Linked DNA regions of Drosophila melanogaster. The protein of the gene in region 2 interacts with the protein of the main gene of each other region in a pairwise test. Each region holds a gene or a part of one and is shown on either strand. Other genes may lie near its edges.

Evidence for each region. Proteins that work in one complex are often made in the same cells at the same time.
Region 1: the proteins of CG18764 (region 2) and HP5 interact in a two-hybrid assay, tested with the Drosophila melanogaster proteins (one large-scale study listed by BioGRID).
Region 3: the proteins of CG18764 (region 2) and DnaJ-1 interact in a two-hybrid assay, tested with the Drosophila melanogaster proteins (one large-scale study listed by BioGRID).

The regions. Positions count from the first base shown.
Region 1 is NC_004354.4:11,451,552-11,460,819, reverse strand, and holds HP5 (heterochromatin protein 5), read right to left. Parts: upstream 6,035-9,268; 5' UTR 5,744-6,034; coding exon 5,629-5,743; intron 5,539-5,628; coding exon 4,333-5,538; coding exon of another isoform or gene 4,307-4,332; exon of another isoform or gene 4,236-4,306; coding exon of another isoform or gene 4,204-4,235; exon of another isoform or gene 4,166-4,203; coding exon 3,056-4,165; intron 2,591-3,055; coding exon 2,508-2,590; 3' UTR 1,593-2,507; downstream 1-1,592. Other genes in the region: CG43155 (uncharacterized protein), read right to left, coding at 696-938.
Region 2 is NT_033777.3:11,623,869-11,630,072, forward strand, and holds CG18764 (uncharacterized protein), read left to right. Parts: upstream 1-3,020; 5' UTR 3,021-3,125; coding exon 3,126-3,242; intron 3,243-3,297; coding exon 3,298-4,184; intron 4,185-4,257; coding exon 4,258-4,368; intron 4,369-4,426; coding exon 4,427-4,541; 3' UTR 4,542-4,584; downstream 4,585-6,204. Other genes in the region: CG14711 (uncharacterized protein), read left to right, coding at 1-426, 489-623, 682-792, 850-967; CG6813 (uncharacterized protein), read right to left, coding at 1,643-1,757, 1,830-2,075, 2,135-2,547, 2,608-2,718; CG14712 (uncharacterized protein), read left to right, coding at 5,073-5,146, 5,213-5,380, 5,450-5,852, 5,916-6,204.
Region 3 is NT_037436.4:5,748,437-5,755,033, forward strand, and holds DnaJ-1 (DnaJ-like-1), read right to left. Parts: upstream 3,754-6,597; 5' UTR 3,158-3,753; coding exon 2,153-3,157; 3' UTR 1,593-2,152; downstream 1-1,592.

The DNA.
Region 1 (9,268 bases), on a different chromosome or scaffold from region 2:
CAAGAGCTGAAACCACGACGTCATTGGCGAAAATGTAAATGTTTAGACAAGGCCAAAAAGGCCTGGACGTGGTCCACATGATGCACTGCCTCCTGCTCCGCCAGCCAGACAGATTTGGGCGTCTGGATATGTGGCGATATATGTGTGCAGTGGCAATTAGGGGAGGCGGGGCACTTAAATGTACAAAATAGTTTTATGACTTAATTTTGGTCTAATTTTTACTATTTCCCACTGCAATAAATTTGCGCTCTGTTTGGGTTATTGTTTTTAATCGCATTGGTACAGTGCACGATCGTTGGATTCATAATTTTTTATATATGCAACATTTATTTGAAGGAAGGATATAGTGACTTAAATTTGTTGGCTTAAAAATGCATTAGAGGGATATTAAATATTTTCTTTTTAGGCCAAGTTAAATCCCCTGCTCGATTGGCCACTGTATTTATGTGTGTTTTGCATTTCTTTCTTGCTCCAAACAATTTGAACGCTAGCCATTTTTCGGCTTTTCGCCCAACAACACAAATCATTTTGCATGTTCGCGGCAGCCGCAAAAGGCGAGCCAAAGGTAGGGGGGGATGGAAAAACAAAAATAAATAAATAAAAACATATTGAAAATAATTAAATATTTGCCTAGTTATGTTCGGGTCTGCTGGGCACCGAACTGGGCACACACGTTGCCCCCCACCATCGCTTACCAATCCGCCCACGCCGCAGTAAATGGACAGGGAGACGAGCAGTCCGATGTGATTGAGCGCCGACTTCCACTTCATCGACTGCCAGCAGGCGGTGCTCCTTCGTCCGCCGGCGGTTCCCTTGGCCAAGCCACCACCCTCGGCGGCATCCACACGACGGTCGAGATGCTTGAGCTTCTCCAGCAGCTCGGTGCTGGCCTCATCCTGCGAATCGTACTCCTTCACCGTCACCTTCTTCATGGGCATTCTGCACTCCGTTTCTGATTGTTTTGGCCGGCCTATGCCTAAATTACTTGTGCTATCATTTAATAGTGTGTTTTTTTCTTTCTTTTGTTTATATCTATTTAATTTCTTTCTTTATTTTCTTTTTGGTTTTCAGGGGCCCGGCCCGCTTTGGTCCTGTGAGTTCAACATTTCGGGGGCACGTCTCACGCAAAGGGGCAACTTTTGAAATAGTTCGCACTCGCGCCAAACGATCTGGAATTTTGACGCGGCCCCAGAATCCCGAGGAGAACCAACCGTCAACAAGTCAAAGTTGCGACTGTTTTGCTTTTGGCGCTGCATTGGATACGCGGGGCTCTGCATGAAAGGTGGCCACCTTTGGGGGCAAGCGTGTGGCAACATGTGGCAACGTTGGCCGCGAAACTGAACGAACGTAAAATCGTTGCATAAATTCGAAATAATACTTATTATAATAAGAATATATAAGAACGGAAACGCTGAGCGATGGTTGCTTGTGTATAGAAACATTTTATTATATTAATTATATAATAGAACATTAATAAAAACGAGCTTAAGTTATCCTGTGATTGATAAATATATCAGAAAGTTAAGTGTGTGTTGTTCATAAAGCAAGATAACATCTTTCCATTTATCTATTCAAATTAGTCACAAAAAAATCTCTTTCTAGCACATTAAATTTATTCAATCTGTATAAATTAACTGTAGAATATTCTGTGAAAAAAAAAACATGTTAGGTAATAAAAATAACATCATTTTTACATAGCTTAAAATAAACGGTACAAGACTTTTCACAATATGGCAACGTCAATGTTCGAATGTGGCAACATCTTCAAATGGCGGCAAATTTCGAAAAAGTTTCTCAGCCAATCCCATTGAAAACTGGCAACATATTTTATCCATTTTTAATCTGTTTTCTTTTTACATACATACATTTTATGATGATGATGTACATTAATACATTGAACTTACAGTACATTTAAGACGATCCATACTTAAATATATATATTTATATTTATATATGTGCATGAACGCAAGTGTTTCTTAAATCTAAGTTGTCAAAAAAAAAAAGGATGAGAAACGAACAATACGTATTCTTGAAAGTCAAACTAACGTAACGCTCTGTTTAAGTAGCTTAAACATTGAAAATTGATTTTCTGATTCCGCTTAACCGTTAATAATATTAAAATATTAATTTTTACGGTCTATCGCACACATTTGCAAGTTGAGTGAGTGAGCTGTGTTAAATTTTGTCCCTGTTTTGCTGACTAATTTAGCAATCATATAAGTGCAAAATATTAACGTTTGCACCAATAGCTTTCTCTTGCAAAAATACTTTGGTATTTTCAACGTGAGTTTGCATATAAATTGAATATGTCTTTAAAAATAAACGTAAGACTACTTCTTGATCGTAGGGAGAACTAATTATAAATTCAGTTAAATGTACAAATTAATCGGTCCTTAATAAACCTACGTGTGTGCGTGTGAGTTTGTAGCTATGTCTGTGTCTGTGTGTATGCTTCGGTTTCGATCTGTATCTGTCTATCTGTACTTGGTGCGCAATTTGCCAGCTTACTACGATTCTAACGCGGTCATTATTTCGTCCAGTGTACCCCTCGAGATGGCATGGCGGCTGGAGTTCAACTGAAAGTTGGGTTCTAAAAGGCATAAGCAGAGCAAATAGTTATTAGAAGGTGCATTCAAATTAACATTTACGAAAGTATGAAATATAAGCAAGTTCAAATTGCAACTGGAAATTGTGCATTGCCTATACACTTACACTTAATTAAGATACCCAGACTTAGAGAAGACCAGAGAAAGTACAAAAAATGCCTATTAAGTAGTTGTTTTAATGACAAATGTACGCAACGGGCGAATGTTCATTAAATCAATCAATGGAATGCTTGACCAATGACCAAGTGTCACTAGAGCTTTAACGTAAGAGTTTTTGGCCTCACAAAATAGAGAAGTTTCGTGAAAAGCGAGACTACTTGGCAAGAATTAAAGTAGAAAATGACGTACTTTACTGTCTTGAAGACTTAACAGTCCCCACTTGTACTCCCTAAGTATTCATGCTATTATTTGAGATTGCCTTGCGATGGAGGCGATCGTCTGGCACTCACCGGATAGCTGGTCCATGATGACGTCATCTAGCGTGGCCATGGGATCCTCCATGGGCGAGTAGTATGTCGTTGCCGTTGATCTGGATTCGCTGGTGGGTTCACCATTCACTGTCCTGGGCGCCGAGGGCGGGGTCATAAGCTCGGCCGGCAGTTCGGGTGAATCGATGGGATCACCGATGATGGTTGCTGCTGTTTGTTGATCCTCGTCATCGTTCGGCGCTTTGCTTGCTTTCTGCTCTGTTTCCTCAATGGCTTGTCCAGCTAGCAGCTTGGCGTTATCGCTGGCGGACTTAAAGCTGCAATCGGAGTCACCGGAATCGAGGCGACTGCGCGATTTGGGCGTACTCTGGCGGGATGATGGCGTATGCAATTGACGGACATCGTCCAACGACGTCTGGATCTCCAGCACGTCATCTTCGTTATCGTCAGTTGTGGACGGGAGCTGTGGTGGGGTCGGCAAGTCACTGAACTCCTCGGCATGCTCGACCTCGTCCTCTACTTTCTCAACCCTGTCTTCGTTCGTTGGTTTTTCTAAAGATTTGACGGCGTTATCGCTGATTTCAGCTGCATTTTCCTCCAGATTTTTCTCGTCCTCGTCTAGCAAAACTTCTTCTCGAGCATCTTCCGATTTTTCCTCCGAATTGTCAGCCTCTTTTAACTCTGGCATATCTTTTACTACTTTTTTTTCCTTCGCCTCATCTGTATTTTTCTCTGTTGCATCCACAAATTGTTCTTCTCTATCTCTTTCTACTTCATTTGTCTCAGTTTCGTGTGCGTCTCCCTCTCGCTCATTCGTTTCGATTTCCTTCACTGGTGGTTTGATTTCGACATCAGGATCGGAGGATTCAATTTCCACAACTGGTGAGTTTTCCGTTTTTTTCTCCTTTTTCGTTTGCATTTTGTCAGTCGTCTCCTTTTCGTTTAGCATCTTGTCCGTCTTTTTGTTTGATCTTTCTTTTAGGGGTTTTGGCTGCTTTTTTTGTGCATCCTTCTGCTTTTTTAGTACCGGCTTTTCGTCCTCATCATCACTGATGGTCGTGGTGAAGGATATCTTCTTTTTCTTGGGCGGAGGCGTTCCAGATCTCTGGGACCCCGGCACATCGTTGGGCACTGGACGTAAAAATGGAGAGAATTGCATTAGTTTTAGCTCAATTCTTCTTTAATTTGATTTGGTCAAATCCTGTCATAAAAATAACGAAATCATTTAATACAAAATGAGACATGATTAATGCGATTACATCGAGTTTGATGTCAGTTTAATAAGTGCATCCTCCTACCTATATACTCCTCATCGTCATCATCATTATCTCCACCTCCATCAGACCTGGAGGAGCTGTTGTCTATGCTTAGGCGGCCCAACCTGCGTAACTTGAGCCTTCCGACCACAGGCGTACCGTTGCATGAGCGGCGCCTAACCCGCTCGCGCGAGCCTCCAGAAGATGACGAGAAGAGCGGCGTGGAGGTCAGTGCTATGTCCTCCAGCACATTGCCAGTGGCATCCACACGCTGCAGTCGTGTCGGTTTCGGAGCTCCTCTCGATGAAAGCGAACCGAAAGTAGACCGACGTGATGGACCCCCGGGGCTGCCCAGAATCTCGACGGCCTCGCTGAAGGATACCGCCTTCTTGGGATACACCTTCCTGACAACTCCGTCGCCAATGGGAGGCGGTTTGCAGTCAGGCCACTTGGCACTTGGTAAACGCGTCCTCCTCACCTTCACCACACAGCCAAAGAAATGCGCGCCATAACGCTTAACCAAATCCGGATCGGTGTTGCGTCCGCGACTGGATAATCTCTTCGCCTTGATCTTGGGCTTGGGACTTCGCTTCAGTGCGGAGTGTGTGCTTTCAGAACTCTTGGCCAAACTGGGCGGCGGTGTATGAGCGCGCAACGAGTGGTTCAGAGCACGCTTTTTGGCGCCATTCTGCAAAGGAACTTTGATGTGGAAATTGGTCTGCGCTGTTGATGACTTTTGTTTCTTAGGTGACGTTTTTCTCTTTTTGTGCCTGCTACGGCCACTAGTACCGCTCTGGTTAACGATCTCGGGCACATTGATAAATGATGAATTGGCCAAAGATTCGACGGCCGAATCGATTTCTGTCTGTTTCAGGCGACGTAATAGCACCCGCACCTTTCTTTTAACATTCGGCGACTGCTGATCGCTGAACATCTTTTGCTGAGCCTTCGTCTTGGTGGGAACGACCACCATCGATTGCTGGTCCTCCTCGATGGCCTCGCCGTCGTCGTCAATGGACACTTTTGGCCTCTTGTTGTGCGGCGTCGATGCAGAGACAGTGGATTTCCTGCTTTTGTTTGGTTTTGAGTTAGCCACGCTCTTACGCTTCCTCTTGGCCAATGACTCGTCGAGATGGTCGAATGATGTTTCCGAATCAAACAGATCAATGCTGCACTGTTCGACATTCTTTGATTTTCTCGACATGCGCAAGTCATTCTCGTCCAATTGGTTTCCACTCTCCAGGAGGTCTGACAGAAAATGGAAAAAACGATTGGAGGTTATTAAACTTCTAGGATTGCCAGCCAATTTGCAGGCAAACAAAATTATGCTCAATTTACCATTTACGTCGATTGGCGAATCGGGCGGTATGGGCGACGGAGTGGAGAGCTTGGTGTCCACCGGATTAATAGTTTGCGGCGGCGGCGCCGCTTTGACCATATCAAAAATATCCATTATCGCAGGTTTCAGCCCTTTGCGATTTTCCCACGAAAATGAAAATTAGCAAAGAGCGCAGATTTACCGCTTTAAAATATACGGTTAATATGCGCTTACAGATGTGTGTTTTGCGCAATTAGTGAGGCCACTGTACCACGGACTAATTGTGGCGCGAGGAGCACTCGATTTGCCCACTTAATCAGCAGATGCGACTTTTAAAATCGCGTTTGCATTCAGGTAACTTTCCTGATTAATTTTACACACTCCTAAAGACGCCATCTAGCTGGTGTGCCCGTGCGCAGATACCGCGAAAATATTTCACCGCCTCGGCGCATTTTTATGGGTTATTTATGTCGCCAACAATCATTAACCACAAAATGTATTTTAAATTTATCAACAAATAGCCTATTTCCTATCATTAAACGACAAAGATCTTATGGACACTTTTCATCAATGGAATGCTGAACAACAACTTATTACTCTGAGCAACATAACTCCATTAAGATTCATACTTATCTCATATGGTTGAATGTTTCAAAATCATTTACAAACATGTAATAACAGCACTTGCAGCCCACTGTACAGGTTTGAGTCTGTGCTAAACAGCTATCATTGGTATTTTTGGTATTATTCAAATAATCGATAATGCAGTAGAAACTTTTCTATCGGTTATCAGCTATCTGCGCTTCAGAGAATTTTAGTATATGGTAATACTTATTTAGCGGCTTACTTCAGCTTTTGCGCGACGGTCACACCGCCAGTGGGCGAAAAAAAACATTCGTGAATTCACCGTCGTCGAACGAACGCTGTATTTTTTTCCAGTGCAATATTCGGTCGATGTATAACGAGTGATTGAATTAAAGTAGTCCTTTTAAAAAAAGTACTAGTATTTAAATAAAAATAAAGTCATACAGAACAGCATAGGGAGAGAGGGCGAGAGAAAAAATTGCTGCTGCTGAGGTGTGTGCAATTGCCTGTGCGTGTGTGTGTGTGTGTGTTTGTGTGACGTTTACAGCAGCAAAAAGTTCGGTAGTGTCGTCAAAATAATCGTGTATTATAAAGTTAATGCAAACGATTCTCGATCGGATACGAGTTGATCGCGACATATTGAGTTCGTCGAATGTGGAAAAGTCTAGCTGATTGAAAACGAAACGCGGATAAAAAAAAAACGATAAACAACGGCAATTTGTTGCTGCCGCAACAGCAACAACAACAGCAGCAGCGCACTAACGCAACCACCACCACCCCCTGTTCCAGCCTAACGGTTCATTTACAGTGGCCGAAGAAGCAGCAGCAAAGGTGAGGTTCCAGCATCTTTATTTATATTTTATGTGTCGTTCTTCTTCATCATCTTTACTTCTTCCGTAAAAAAACTCAATGTGTGTGTGTAAACATTATCAACGAAAAAAGTGGAGTGGGAAAAAATACAGAAACTTTCTTTCGCTGTCTGTGTGGGTTTATGCTCGCGTGTGTGTGTCTGTTGCTACCTTTTTTTTTTTACAAATTAGCGAAGCAGCAAAAGAAAATCGGGTACAACTAATTTTGTATGCTTAAATTTCGCGCATTAATGTAATTAAAAGCGTCCATTGTCCATTGTTCATCGCTCATTGTCCATCATCATTCATCATCGTTCATCATCGTTCTTTGCAGCTTCGCTGAGCAACAACAACAACAATGACAACAGGGCAGCCCTGCTCTTACTTCCTTTTCCATTTCCATTCCTATTGCCATTCCCATTGCTCATTTCCCATTGCCCGCTTCCCTTTCCCAATTCCTCTTTCCCAATTCGCTTTGCTCTTCCACTCCCACCGCATCAGCTGCTCCTGCCACTAGTTGTTGTTGTTGTTCCTGCTCTGTTGTAACCTTGTCTTGCTCTCCTTTCCTTTGCTTTCCACCCACTTTTCGTGGGCCCAACGCACAGTGGGAAAATTCAGCAATCGAGGGAGGGAAAAACTATTTGCCAGTTATAAAATGGAAATGGAAATCGAAGAATAATGACTCTACGTCCACTCTTCTGTAAACCATTAATTACGACCAATGGCTTAGTAATATTTAAAAATAACATCTAATCTTGTTCTCCAATTTTCACTGTGCATCTCTCCATCTCGCTCTAGCCCGCTCTGCGCCTGCGCATTGCCAACTCGGCGACACCTTGCAAGCAGCGTTGCCACCTTGCACATGGCCTACGTAGACGCAACGAACAGTGGGGGTGAAAAAACTAGCATTAAAAATAGTAAATTGCTAGCTTATTAAGCTTCATTGTTGTTTGTTTAATATGAATACAGTTAATTTAACGCTTTCATTGCATTAAAAACAAACTGGCTGCAGCGAATTTCGTCGAAACTAGCTAAAAGATTGCTGAACTCTTGTTTATCTGCCGGTCGTGATAAGCTTTGTATCCGTATGTAGATTACATATACGTGCAACTGAGGGCTTTCTGCTAAATTATATCGAGATCTTAAAGATGCCCAAAGGCAGACAAGTGCTCAGTTACTTTATACTTTACTTTGCTTTGGAAATGCAGCCATAGTCCTTTGACCTCTGCTGTACCCGACCCATCGCACTCAAGTCTTTTGTTTTTGTTTTTTTTTTTTTGTGCGTGGGGATTGTTGCGTGCTTATTCAAATTTCAGTTGTGCTATTTATTTAAATCACGAGCATTAAAACTAGTGGAGCACATAGAGCAGAAAGTCATCGTCATGTTAATTATGATCATAAATTTGCAGAGCTCGTGGGTGTGTTGGTGTATCATCCGTCATTATCTGGAGAAGGTTGGGGCAGGATAGCCTTCATTCTGCCTTCTCTGGCCAACAAAAAAAAAACATATACATATATAAAAAAAAGATAAATAACAAAAGTCAAGATACTTTTTTTGGGTTATTTCAAACGGAATTCTTTTTGCGTTTAGCGGGTTTTTCAACTATCTGCTCAAGTGTTTTCGCCATGTTTCATTATTTGCATTGTTTTATGATATTTTGGCGGTTGTTTGTTGCTGCTTATTATGTTGCCCATTTCGATCGCGCGAGCTTTCGACCTTCGCCGCAAAGCCGCAAAAAATATATGTCAAAAATAATTTGCACTTGAGTCTGTTTCCCTATCGGCGTTTATTTTGTATTTATGTATGTATACATATTTTTTAACGGATCATACCAAGCGCTTGCCAACACGTTTTCGCGCAACCAAACTAAACGCAAATTAAGTAAGCCAACTGTGAAATTACAGTGATCACTGTGCAAAAAAAGACTCCGAAATAAATGCGATTTTGTTAACATTTTAAGTGCATTTTAAATTATAAAATATATATGTAATTACTTGTTTAAGCGAATACTAACTATTGGAGTCAAGTTCATGATCGAGCTGCCACCTTTCTTTGTGGGGCTCAACGAAAAGTATCTATGTAGCGTGGCTTTACTTTATTGGCATTTCGTTACTTCCTCTGAAATTTGTTTTCGAAAAAAGTTTGACAACCTCATGCCGTCTCTTGCGATTGCGCAGCTACCTTTTGTTAGCCGTCCCTTTCTGGCGAGGCAAAAAGTGCCGTTAT
Region 2 (6,204 bases):
CTTCATCGACGGTGTCGAGGATGACATCGGAATGGAGAACATCATGGAGGAGCCCCTGGAGGATGGTGTCGGGGAAACGTCGCAGGCCTACGAGACTAGCACTGTAGTGGACGACCTGGACGAGGATGACTTGCTGGTGCCGAATAGCACCGATAGCGACTACCAGCCCATCGAGCGCTGCCGCAAAGCTAAGGTGCGTAAAACGCGGATGACTAAACGTGGACGTGGCCGACCTCGCGGTGCTAGCTCCGGACACCCACGCAGTTTTAGCGAGGAGCGTCCGCCTGTTCAAGCTAGCTTCAAATCATCTCCCGAAGTATCCTCCACGAACATTATGTGCGAAATCTGCGGCAATATCTACTCCAAGCGAGCCGCTCTCAACATTCATATGCGTCGTCATATGGCCGAGAAACCATTTAAATGCGAGTGAGTATCTGAAATTATCATCTGAACCATTTTATATTATGTAAATCTTATTCCGCTTACAGAATATGCAGCAAATCCTTCGCGGGTCCATCCGAGCTAAATCGCCATATCCGCGTTCACACGGGCGAGAAACCATTCTTGTGTAAATATTGCAACCGCTCGTTTGCGGATCGCAGCTCCAATATTCGTCATGAAAGGTGAAGATGCAATTCCTCATAGTAATCTTCATATAAACTATACTTGTTCCTTTTGCAGAACACACACAAACGAGCGACCTTTCACTTGCTCCACATGCGGCAAGGCATTCTCCTACTCTAACGTGCTAAAAAACCATATGCTCACCCACACGGGCGAGAAGCCTTTTCTGTAGGTCCATTGACTGCTTTAATCATGTATAACCCTAAATTCCCTTTAATTTTTCAGCTGTCGAGTCTGCAATAAGACCTTTTCCCGCAAGCACCAGTTGGATCAGCATTTGGGCACCATGACCCACCAACAGACTGTAATACACCACAAAAACGAACGGACGGGGCGCTATTAGTCGAAAACAATGCAATACAATTTCTGTTAGATAATTCATTAATGTACATTTAATTATATATAAAAATTGTAAAATAAAAAAGAGTACAAATGGTCAGACCGGATGTGTAAAATAATCGGATTTGATTTATTACTATTTGGTTAAAGAACTTGTTCAAAAACACAAATATTTTTTGTAATGTTTTTTATTACGTCCATATATTCGAGAAAAAAATTGGAACACGATTACAATCTTTGATTTTGTGCGTTTATTTGGTAGTTTTAACATCATTTTGGCCATTAAATGAGTGTGCGTTTTTTATTGTTTCTTTTCTTTGTGCTCTGTCGAAGACTTTGTTACCGTTTGTGGAAGCTACAACATGGAATAATAATCGAATGGCACAGGATTAATTAAATCTTCTTTTTTTGGACAAGTAAATATGTTTTGTTTTTTTAGGTTTATAACTTGTAACGTTTTACATCAAAATCTAAAAACGTTTGGAAGTCGGGAGGGATGCGGCTCTTCTTCTATTCCTTAGGGAAACAAAAAGTAAAACCAAATATGCTAGATATTCGCATAAAATGGATTTATGCGAATACCTGTACTTAAATGTACGTCTACCTTGTTAAAGAAAAGGACGCGGAATTTTAGAATTCTTACCGATAGCTAATTAGTGTAATGGCTAGATAGGCAGCTTCATTGTTCAATGGCTAGCTCCGTGAGTTTCTCTTCTTTGCGTTTATGAATATTGCTGGACAGGTGGGTCATCAAATGGGAGATTCGTTTGAAGTGCTTCTGACATACGTAGCAGCTGTAAAATCAAAGTGTGTTGAAACGTGTAATACAAATAATGTGCAGAGTTGGCAGAAATCGAAATGCCCACTAGTGATTCCGCGCATCCACATGGATCATCTTGTGCTTCCTGAGACATCCGGAGCTTACAAAACTCTTTTTGCACGTGTCGCACTCGTAGCGGCGTTCGTTCCGATGGCGGCGATGGTGCTCCTGGCGAGCGCCTGAAGAGGAGAACCGACGTGGACAGTAGACGCACACGTATGGCTGCTCGCCCGTGTGGATACGCGTATGGCTAGTCAGTTCCTTTCGAGTTGCAAAGCTCCTTTCACAATTCCTGAGGAGAAAAATCGTATCTTAGGTGCACTAGCCCAAAGGAGGTTAAGGATAATTTACAAAAAAACACAGTGGAAATTCTTGATGCCTGTGTGCCGGAGCGTGTGCTCTTGAAAGTTTGACTTATTGTTAATGATCCTTCCGCAATCAGGGCATACATATGGACCAGTACCTCCTCCAATTGACTTTTGATGGTTCAAACTAGTCGGTGCTGAGACCTTTTCAGCACTTGGCATTGGAAGATCTTTGACTTCAGGACATAGAATGGACTCGTCCAACTCACTCTCAATTTGGTTATCATCGATGTCTTCGTATATTATTGGATCTGTGGAGCAATCCTTGCTGTCGCACTCAATCCTTTCCAGATTCTGTTTCTCGGCAATGATGCAGCGCTGGCGGAACTTAATGGCTGCCTGCAGATTGTCCAGGCAAGTCGTGCACATTTGGCCGGATATTTCTTTCTTGCAGCTTAGCTGGAAAGTATAAATAGCAAATTAAGTGCCATGATTAAGGAATATTTTTAGACATATTACCTCCACCCCAGTAATGGAGTGAATTTGACGAACTAGATGACCGTTTCCTGGACCAAAAAGGTCTATTGGGGCATCTGATCTAGAGCAAATGCGGCAATTCAGAATTCGCATCTCGACTTTGATTTGTTTTTGAATAATTGTTTACTGTTTACGTTTCGAGCAGCTTATGCGAAATGTGTCGTTAAGCTATTTGCATGGTCACTCTAACTTTTGCACGCATAAACGCTGTTTAGAGTTTTTGCACAGGGATTAGTACCTTATGAAGTAACATAAATACAAATATGTTTTATAATCTCATTTAATAAGAGTACCATAATGGTTTACTGCACTTTTTAAATCATTTAAGTCACACAATGGCATTGCCGCACTTATCGATTTTGTCGATAATAAAACCAGCTGTTGCATCACAATATATATACATACATATGTGTAGTGGATGCGTTTACAAAACAATTGGTTGTTTATATTCGAATTAAACTGAAGTTGGGCTAAACTTCGGTTGATTTTCAACTAACATTATGGCGCTCCAGTGCCGGACCTGCGGCAGCATCATCTACAATAAAATGCCCAAGAATCTCTTTCATATTGAGAACGAGAAGATGCTGCAAGACATAAATCTTGTCACTGGCACAACAGTATGTAAGAAAAATGGTTTCCATTTGATTTGTGCAGCATTTTCTGTGATTGCAGCTCCACAACGATCCAGAGCTGCCCAGCAGCATATGCGCCTGCTGCACGCTTGACTTGAACCAAGCGATTTTGTTCCGGGAGCGGTGCATCCTAACGCAGAAGCAGCTCGTCCATCGTCGTAGATCTCCCGAAGCGAAGGAACCGGCTGAAGATGTTGAGGAGATGGCATCACCGCCGGATTGTCTGAACGATCCATTCGGGGAAGTCGATGAATACATTGTGGAATCCCCAGAAGAAGTTTTGGATCATGATAGTGATGCTCATCATGATCTGGATGAGGATAATTATATTGATTCTGTTGAAGATGTTGATGCGCTTCAAGATATGGCTGAAGTAGCCGAAGAGGATTCTCAAGATGTCGAATCTCTGATCTCAAGTGTACAGAAAGAACTTGAGAGCATTTGCAACGACGACAGCAACTCGGATAACAACGATTACATGGAGCCCCAAAACGGTTCCTATTTCAATGAAACTATAAACGAATATGAAGTATCATCGAACCCAAACACACCGCTGCCCGAATCGAAGAGTGCAGCAGGTCGGTCAACGAAGCCAGCGACCACAAAACCCAAGCGGAAAAAACAGTACGTTACGTGGAAAAATATGACCGAGGAGCAGATCATAGAGCGTAAGCGACTGCAGCGTAAACGCGAGTGTGTTTGCGAACAGTGCGGCCGGCAATTCACCGACCAAAGCAATTTCAAGCTTCACATGCTGCGGCACACGGGCAATAAGAACTTCGCCTGCCAGCAGTGTGGCAAGCGGTTCTACACCGACCATCTCATGACGCTGCACCAACGAATCATTCACCAGGGCGAGAAGCCATACGACTGCCGCTTTTGCACCAAGTCCTTTCACAATAGCAACACTCGCCTCATCCACGAAAGGTAAGGGACGTATCCTTGTATCCACTACGGATTCGGACATTTCTGAGCTCAAACCAAAAAAAATCCTTTCTAGGACTCACACCAATGCCAAACCCTACAGCTGTCATCATTGCGATAAATGTTTTAAGTCAGCTTCGGGACGCAAGCGGCACGAACTAATCCATACAGGAGTGCGAGCCTTTGCGTGAGTATTTTTTGACTAGGCGTTGGTATTCCAAAATTTAATACAATTCCCTTTGCAGCTGCACCATCTGCAAACAATCCTTCCAGCGCAACACTCACTTAAAGGCCCATCTGCGATCTAAATTTCACACTGCAAAAGCGAAAACCATTGGTGCGGAGGTACTACAATTATAAGCTGATATAGTATTTAAATTAAAAAACAAGTATTAGATATAAGAAATAAAGCAATGTTTTCATTTAATTGGAGTGCAAACATTTAAATTGCGATAAAATTTTATTAACCCGATTTAATAATCGACACATGCTGCAGTGCAGCCCTGCCAATAAGTATCCAAGGTGGCAATCCTGACATATTTCAATATAAATTTGGAGTGAAAATAAGAATTTTTATTCAAGTTTACACGTCTGCCCGAAACTTCCAAATACATTTGACGGAGAAAGTATTAAACATTATTTTTTATCTTTAATCGTTTATTTAGCCAAAGGCTTAAAGATTTTGGTATATTTTGGCGCTTCACCAACGGTCACACAGTAACCATTTCCTATGAAATTCACATTGCATTTCTCTTTAGAATTAATAAAACTAAAAAAAGAAAGAAACGAGATTGCACACAATCGTTTACGACGAAGCTTGATTCACCCGCCAAAAGTGTTCCCCTCCGCCCGACTGCACTGTGAGAATACCGGTTGTTGACCTTCGGCAGCATGGAGCGTCGTCGCTTTAACATGAGCAGCATGTCACCCATGGCGGATTCCACGCGGATTGACGCGTCGCTGTTGTAAGACACCACCTGTCCAACTGGATTCTAAGCGGTTACTAATCAAATTTGCTCTCCTTTGTTCAGAAACAATCGTCCGGCGGCCAGTAATTTCCTGAGGGGACTGAGTCCCAAGGGGTCGAATACCTCGCTCAATGGCACACGCACTCCGGAGCGGTCCTTGATGAATCGCTCTGCCACATCGTCCAGTACCATAACGCGACAGAAACTGAACCTCAGTCAGGTTGATCCCAGGTAAGTCAAAGCTTGTGTGCCATTTCACGATGTGACGAAAGTGCAATATCAAATTTTCATACCTTTCAGAACCTTTGCCGATGTGCATAGCAGCGGACTGTCATCCCGGATCGTGGCCTTAAGCGAACGCAGTGGTCTGCAACGCAGCATGTCCGCCAGCAATCTTTACAATCCCTTGACGCAGCCGCGCAGAGCGCCCGCTTCCCCGTTGCCCTACAAGTCAAGGGCGCCGACGCTTTCGATCACGCAGATTGCACCACCGGAGCGCAGCTTTTATTCCGGAAACACGCTGTCAAGCCTGTTGCGATCCAACTCCTTGGTAGGGTTAGTGCCAAAGACCACCGAACAGGAGCAGCTTTCGAGAGAGAATCGACCCATATTGCACCCACCTCATCCACAGCATGAGAGCGAGCCAACTAGAAGCGTGTTGGAGGAGCTTAAGGAGATCTCCCGAAAGCGCATCAACACTGAAGTAAGTATAAGCCATCAATCATCCTATGAGAAGATCACCGGCTTACACTTGGCTTGCTTTCAGGATACGCAACAGGCTCAAGACTACACGAAAAGGAGTTGCCAGCAAAACGTGGACTTTGTGGACTTTGTGGCTCATCACCGTCAGCAACAGAAACTACGTAATTTGCAGCAACAACAGAATCAGTCCTTTAAAAGGCAACGAGAGCTGACGGTATCGGTTCCGCTCAGGCATCATTCGACATCTTTGTCGGCTGCTTCTCCTGCATTGCAACATATGAACTCGAATGGAACCATCTCCCCAACACAATCTCCGGAGCAGGTAGCCAAACGTCCCAATTGTAGCTACAGCA
Region 3 (6,597 bases), on a different chromosome or scaffold from region 2:
TCATAAACTCATTGAACCATATAGCAACAAATCGAAACATAATCAAAACATTTTTTAGGTTTCCAATCAAATTGAATTAAATATACAAAAAATAAACTCGAATTAAACAATGAGAAAAACTAAGAAAAACGTAATAATTGAAACTACAGACCATAGACAGCTATATGATGTGGAGAGTAAATAGAAATTCTAAATGTATACAACAGTCTAATGATAGATCTTCATCATCGCATCAACGATGAGGATGATTATGAAGATGAAAGCTAATCAAACACGGGACAAAACAAGGAGAAATTTACCAAATACCAAATCACAACATTTTAACATAATTTTTACAGTTTGTATAAGTTCGACAGAGGCAACGTACATAAATAATAATTATAATGATTAACAATAAAAACCAACAGTCAGTTGGAAGACTTTAGCGAAATGAAATAGTTAAATTATGAAACTCATTTGATGGCGAATGAACGTGGCGTGAAACTTTTTGTACGCATTTGACTATTTTTAAAGCATTTTTATTAAATATATATACATACATAGTCACTATTATACGAATGTTTGAGAACCAAACGAATGTACTCATTTAATTAAGTTCACGTGCACACAATGCACTGGAATCTCTTTTAACAAATTGTTATCGGATATTTGATTTGTTTAAGCGTATTGTTAGTTATATGTACATGTATCTCTTATCACACTTTCCTTTCGACAAGCGAACGAGGCAGCAGGAAAAACGAGGGTAACAATTGCATATTAAATACAATTTATAAGTCAGCCACACAACACACACACACACACACACACACACACACGAAAACCAAATTCGAAACAGAAATCAATAGCAAAATGCAGCAGGATTGGAAACAAATGTTGCCATTTTCGAATGGACAACAGCAGACAGCAACATTGAAATTCAATTTTTATTGTAAACCTAATTAGCAGCTGCAAACAAGAAGAACAAAAATATATTACAACAAAAACGAACATGAAATGGATGTTAATACTTTTTGAAAAAGAGAATAAAAAAAAAAAACAAATATGCAACAGTAAAGAAAGTAAAAAGAAATACACAATGATTATACAATTGCAAATGCAACTTAACACTCAACATAAGGATAGTGAAAATGTGTGACAAATGATTAAATTACGAAATCCTTTTGAAGAGAAAACAAATGAAAATAAAATGTGAAATTTAAAATAAAATTAACATGGAATTTCTTTTTATTGATTCTCTTTTTGGCTTTCGGGGATTTCAGGTTTTGGAAAAAGGATTTTAAACAACGATTTTATTTTAAATTTCATCTTTTCCACTCGACGTTTTAAACAAACGTTGCCAGTGATGCCAGATGGTTTTTGAAATGTAACACACGATCTATACACGCCAGGTGGCGTGTTGCCCTCTGGAAGTTTCCACATGTGGAGACTTTTGAATTGTTTGGCGCGCTAGTTATATATATTTAAAAATAGAAGAAATTGCCAGCAATACATGTTGTTTTGGTTTTAGCCACCACATTTTGATTGCCACCACGTGAAATCTAGCAATTTCTATAATGCTTGCAACCCACTGACCCAGAAACGACACTTGATGTGTGTATAAGTAATTTTATTGTTTATAACATAATAGAATTGGTACTAAAACGTACTATGTCCTTACGGCGTATAAATCTATAAGTGTTCTACTAACTGATGTAACCTCCCCGTGTTGGAATGCCGAAAATGTGCTTTGCTTGAAAAATGGTTAGTTACTTTAAATTTATAATACCTCATTTATTTAATATTTTGTTTTGGGATTATTATGTATAAGATGTTGAGGCACCGATTCATGTGGCGGTAAACAAAACAACTTATGGAATTTGTGTAATGCTAAATAGCTAATAATCGATCAGTCTCCAACACGAAACGGGCTACACGGGCTGCTTTATGTGTGTGTGTGTGTGTGTGTTGTTCTCTTTCCTAATCCTATCCAGCGCTTGCATCCTCGGCCAATATCTACAGCTCTTCGCTTGGCACACTCACTAGCTTAGGGCTACAATTGGTTAGGCTAAGTTGTCTTACGAGTACGTACGGTAAATTAAATATAGGCCTTAACTAAAGTGATAACAATTATATGCGTGTGTGTGTGTGTGTGTGTGGCTGGCACAGCTCTAGCCTAGTTGGGCAGCAGCTCGGACAGCTGATTCTGCAGACTGGGTGCCAGTGTGTCGGGAAACTTAATGTCGAAGGAGACGATCAGATCGCCGCGCCTCGATGGCTCCTTGGGCACCGGCAGACCCAGTCCGTTGATCCGGCGCGTTGTGGTGGGCTTGATGATCTCGTGGTTCGGATTCACCTGTATCCTGCTGCCCTGCAGCGTGGGCACACTAACCAGTGCTCCGCACAAGGCCTGCTTCAGACTGATCTGGGCTGTATACTTTAGATCGATTCCCTCGCGTTTGAACAGCGAATGCGGTTTGTCGCGAATGATGAAGACGATGTCAGCTGGCGTCTTGTTTGGCGCCGAATCACCCTCTTGGGGGAAGGTAATCTTGGTACCGGCCTTCCAGCCCGGCTTCACTGTGATCCTCAGCACCTTCTCCTCCTTGTACGGCCCATTGCTTCCGGTGGCCATGCGTGAGATTTTCATCTTCTTGATGCATCCCTTGTCCACTTCCTCCAGCGACACGAACAGATCATGCTCGATGGGCGGATCCTGCTGGCGCTTGCGACTGGGTGCCTGGGCATTAAAGGCAAACATATCGTCGCCGCCAATGTTCCAGAAGATCTCGTTGGTATTGCCGCCCTGACCGCCACTAAACATGTTATCGCCGCCGGTAAAGAACGCGCCAAACGGATCCGACGATCCAAAGAACTGGGCAAATGTGGCCCTCGGATCGCCGTGGAACTGGTAAGTGTACGCTCCCGGCTGACCGCCGCCATCTGGTCCCGGCTGTCCGCCCTTCAATCCATCCTCACCGTAATTGTCGAAGATGTCGCGCTTCTTTTTGTCCGACAGCACCTCGTACGCCTCGGCGATCTCCTTGAAGCGCTCCTCCGCCTGTGGGCTCTTGTTCTTGTCGGGATGGTATTTGAGTGCCAGTTTGCGGTAGGCCTTCTTGATCTCATCGTCGCTGGCCTTGCGCTCGAGGCCCAGAATCTTGTAGAAGTCTTTGCCCATCTCTCAGCTGAAAATATAGGGGAAACACAAACGAACGAACGCTATAGATTAGAATGAATACTGATTGCCAGCTTGCTGGGTTGGGGCGATGGAAAGTGCTAGAAGCACAGAACAGCACAGTTGTGCAACTGCCGTGTTGTCACGCGAGTGACGTATGTAGTCACCATCAACGAGAGCTCCGCTCCCGATGTGCTTCTTTCAGCAGATCAAATCGATGCGCCCACATGTGGCAATATGTCCAACGAAGCTTACCTTAAATGTAAGCGATTGTCTGGGAATCCGTAAAAGTTCAAAAATCCAAGTGGAAAAGTGCAAAATGCAATGGCAAAGTGCAATTGTTGGTATTGTTCACTGTGTATTCACACTATTTATATTTTCACGGGGCAATGTTCTTTAAATATTTATGAGTTTTGTCTCTTTCTCGCAATTGATTCAATTCAATTGTTCTTCTTCGCTTTTTTCTTTATCCACCAAATGTGGCTTGCGCACTAAAAACACACCCTACTTCAGAGTTTCTTTCTCTTCAAAATTTTGTTTAATAATGAGCGGGATTCGTGCGTCAACCTCATTTTATAGGTTCGCCCTCGTCTACGTCGAAATTTCTGGATGCTTCTCGGATTTTAGGGTTGTATCTCGAAAACGTTTGACTGCGAATGTCAATATCGATATGCTAACCGATAGCTGTCGATGTTTTAAACACAGTGCACTGTTTTTAAATCGCTCCCCATTTATATATATTTGTGCATGCTTTTGGCGGTGACTCTTCTTTATATGCTTCTTATGCTTTTACGATTATTATTAGCGCTTATTTGATTGCAAATGCCAAGGAAAGCGTGACTGTGATGGCGAAATGCGGAAAGTACTCCTTAAATCTCATATATCGCATAAAACTATCGGTTCTGGAATGTTTCGTGTAAGTCTGCGAAGATAGAGATCGATCTATTTTGAGGATACATTTGTTAATATTATAAGGGATTCTTCTACAGGGGTCAGATTGCTTAAAAACACACAGAAAAATAAACAAAATATTTCTTTGAAATATTGAAATATTTGAAATAGAAAAAACGTATTGACGAGGTAAGCATATTGTAAAAAGATAGGAAGGTGATGGAGAAAGTTGCACTTATATTGTTCAACCAAAGAGCTTATAATCAAAAGATCAATAGATATAAATATCTTTATATGATATAAAATATAATACATATAATATATTATAATATACAATGTATAAATTGCAAGTGTCAAATTGAATTCTTAGTGTAATATTCAAGCCAACGAAAAGTAACTGAAAGTTGAAATAAATAAATTTTTAAACTTTGCCAGTGTGACCGTAAGACCAAGACTTGGGCATTGCCACAGCTGCAATGCGTTTAGTATTTTACAGTCAGCGGCGGGCAGTCACACCGGAACGAGCACGTCTGGTAAAACAGCCGAACGGAACAACAAAAAACAATTGTAAAAATGACCCGTCGAGGCTCGTTTTAAGCGAATTTCTAGCGCAGTCAGGACGCAGGAGCAGCCGAGCAGGCCGGGATTAGGACCGGAGGAGCAGGATCATCGGGAGAGTAGAGCCGAAACCCACACTCACACACAAACGCAGCCGTATACCGCAGTATTTTCATACACACACACACACTTGAGGTGAGTGAGACGGAGGTACACACACATGCACACATACAGAGAGAAGAAAACAAGGCGCCCCACGAATTTTTGCAAAATATGGACGCGCCTTGCTAGGGACTAATTGCCAGCGCGAAGGACAACCATTGGGGCCACTTTTTGGGCCAAACTCCGGCCGACATATGCGTGTCACGTTCCACAGTCGAAGCCTTGACCGATCGCCCCGCCCACCGTTCACCGCCCCATCGCTGGAAGTATTGCGCAAACGAATGTGACCCTTAACCCTTGCCCCCCCCCCCCCTTCCACAAAGAATATCCTTTGGCATGGCGCCTGTTCAAAGGATGTCCCACTGCAGCAATGCAGCATTGTAGCAGCGACGGCAGACCCATAAAAATAGTCATTCATTCCCGCAAATAGAGAGCTGGCACATCGAAGAGAGCATACGGTCGACATTAATAGCACTTTCGCTGTAAACCCAAACATATCGCCTATATTCATTGAGTAATCCGTCTGGGTTCTAGGGACCCAAAAGTTCCCCCCAGTGAAATACCCACCCACTGCATTGTGCGGCGATAATCGTTATCAGTTGCAACTCGTGAGTGGTCATTGATATTCGCAAAAGGCAACTGGACAATGTTTGATTGTTATCAGACCCCTGATTGTAACCCAGTCAATAGCTTACATTACTCCCCATTATCCTGTTATTTGTTTAAAACAAGTGGCTTGGGTACTGTTGCAATCCGTGTATCTGTATTCATGTTCTTATCGCACCCCGAAGTTATAGAAGCTATATAAAAGTATTGTTTTCCTATTGAAGTGTAAGCCAGATAAGTAAACTGTTTCTCATTGTTATAGTACATCACGCCGAGAACTTAACACGTAGCTCGCTTCGCCAAAGATCGGGCGCCAGATCGGGTGGTGTATCTTCGGATCGCAATCGGAATCGGCATCGGCATCCTAAGCGGCCAGTACACGCGTGAACTATGCCGTGCGTTGACGGTGCGGTCTTCTAGTTCGGAAAGATTTCGGCACACTCAGTTCCGACACAGACGGTAAAACTCACCAAAATCCGTTGCATATATAGACCACGGATATATACACACTTATTCACACAACATTGGAAGCTCCAATTAAAGTTGTGCGACGCCTAAGAATAGAAAGCATTTCGTAATGGAGATTTTCTGTTCGAGAATGCATTATATGATCGGGAATCGAGAATCCTACAATTTCCGGCACTCAGCAGTCATATCTCAGACATCTCATGGTTTTTGTAGATCACATAGATTTCGCAGTACCGAAATAGTTCAAAAATAGCACAAATATATGCGAGCATGACTGTTGCCCCTCCCGCCGTCCCCCCATTGGATCGTGTATATGGCATAGATAACTCGCGATATCGGTTTCTGTAATACCCGACCAACACAAACATTGACCAAAAGATCATCGTCATCATGTAAATATTGAGTGGGATGGATGGGGCCAATGTGTTGAAAGTGCCTGACCATTCTGATGTATAGGATAGACGTATTCGAACAGTCTGTGCGCTTCTCTGAATTTCTCAAAAACCTTCGCATTCACAAATAGCCAGATATACGCGTATTCAAGACGCTCCCAAAGCTGTCTTATATCTTGCTCCTCCACTCGCCTGTGTGCTTTTTCCGACCGCTCCGATGTGTCGTTGTGTCGCCGCCGCCAGTTTTTATTTTTAGCAGCATGGGTTTCTTATTTTGATTTTGTGCTGGCCGACGTGTATTAGCATTTTTGGATCCCCATCTCACTCGCTCCCTTGCCGGGCAATGCGGTTTGTGTTTGGACCATC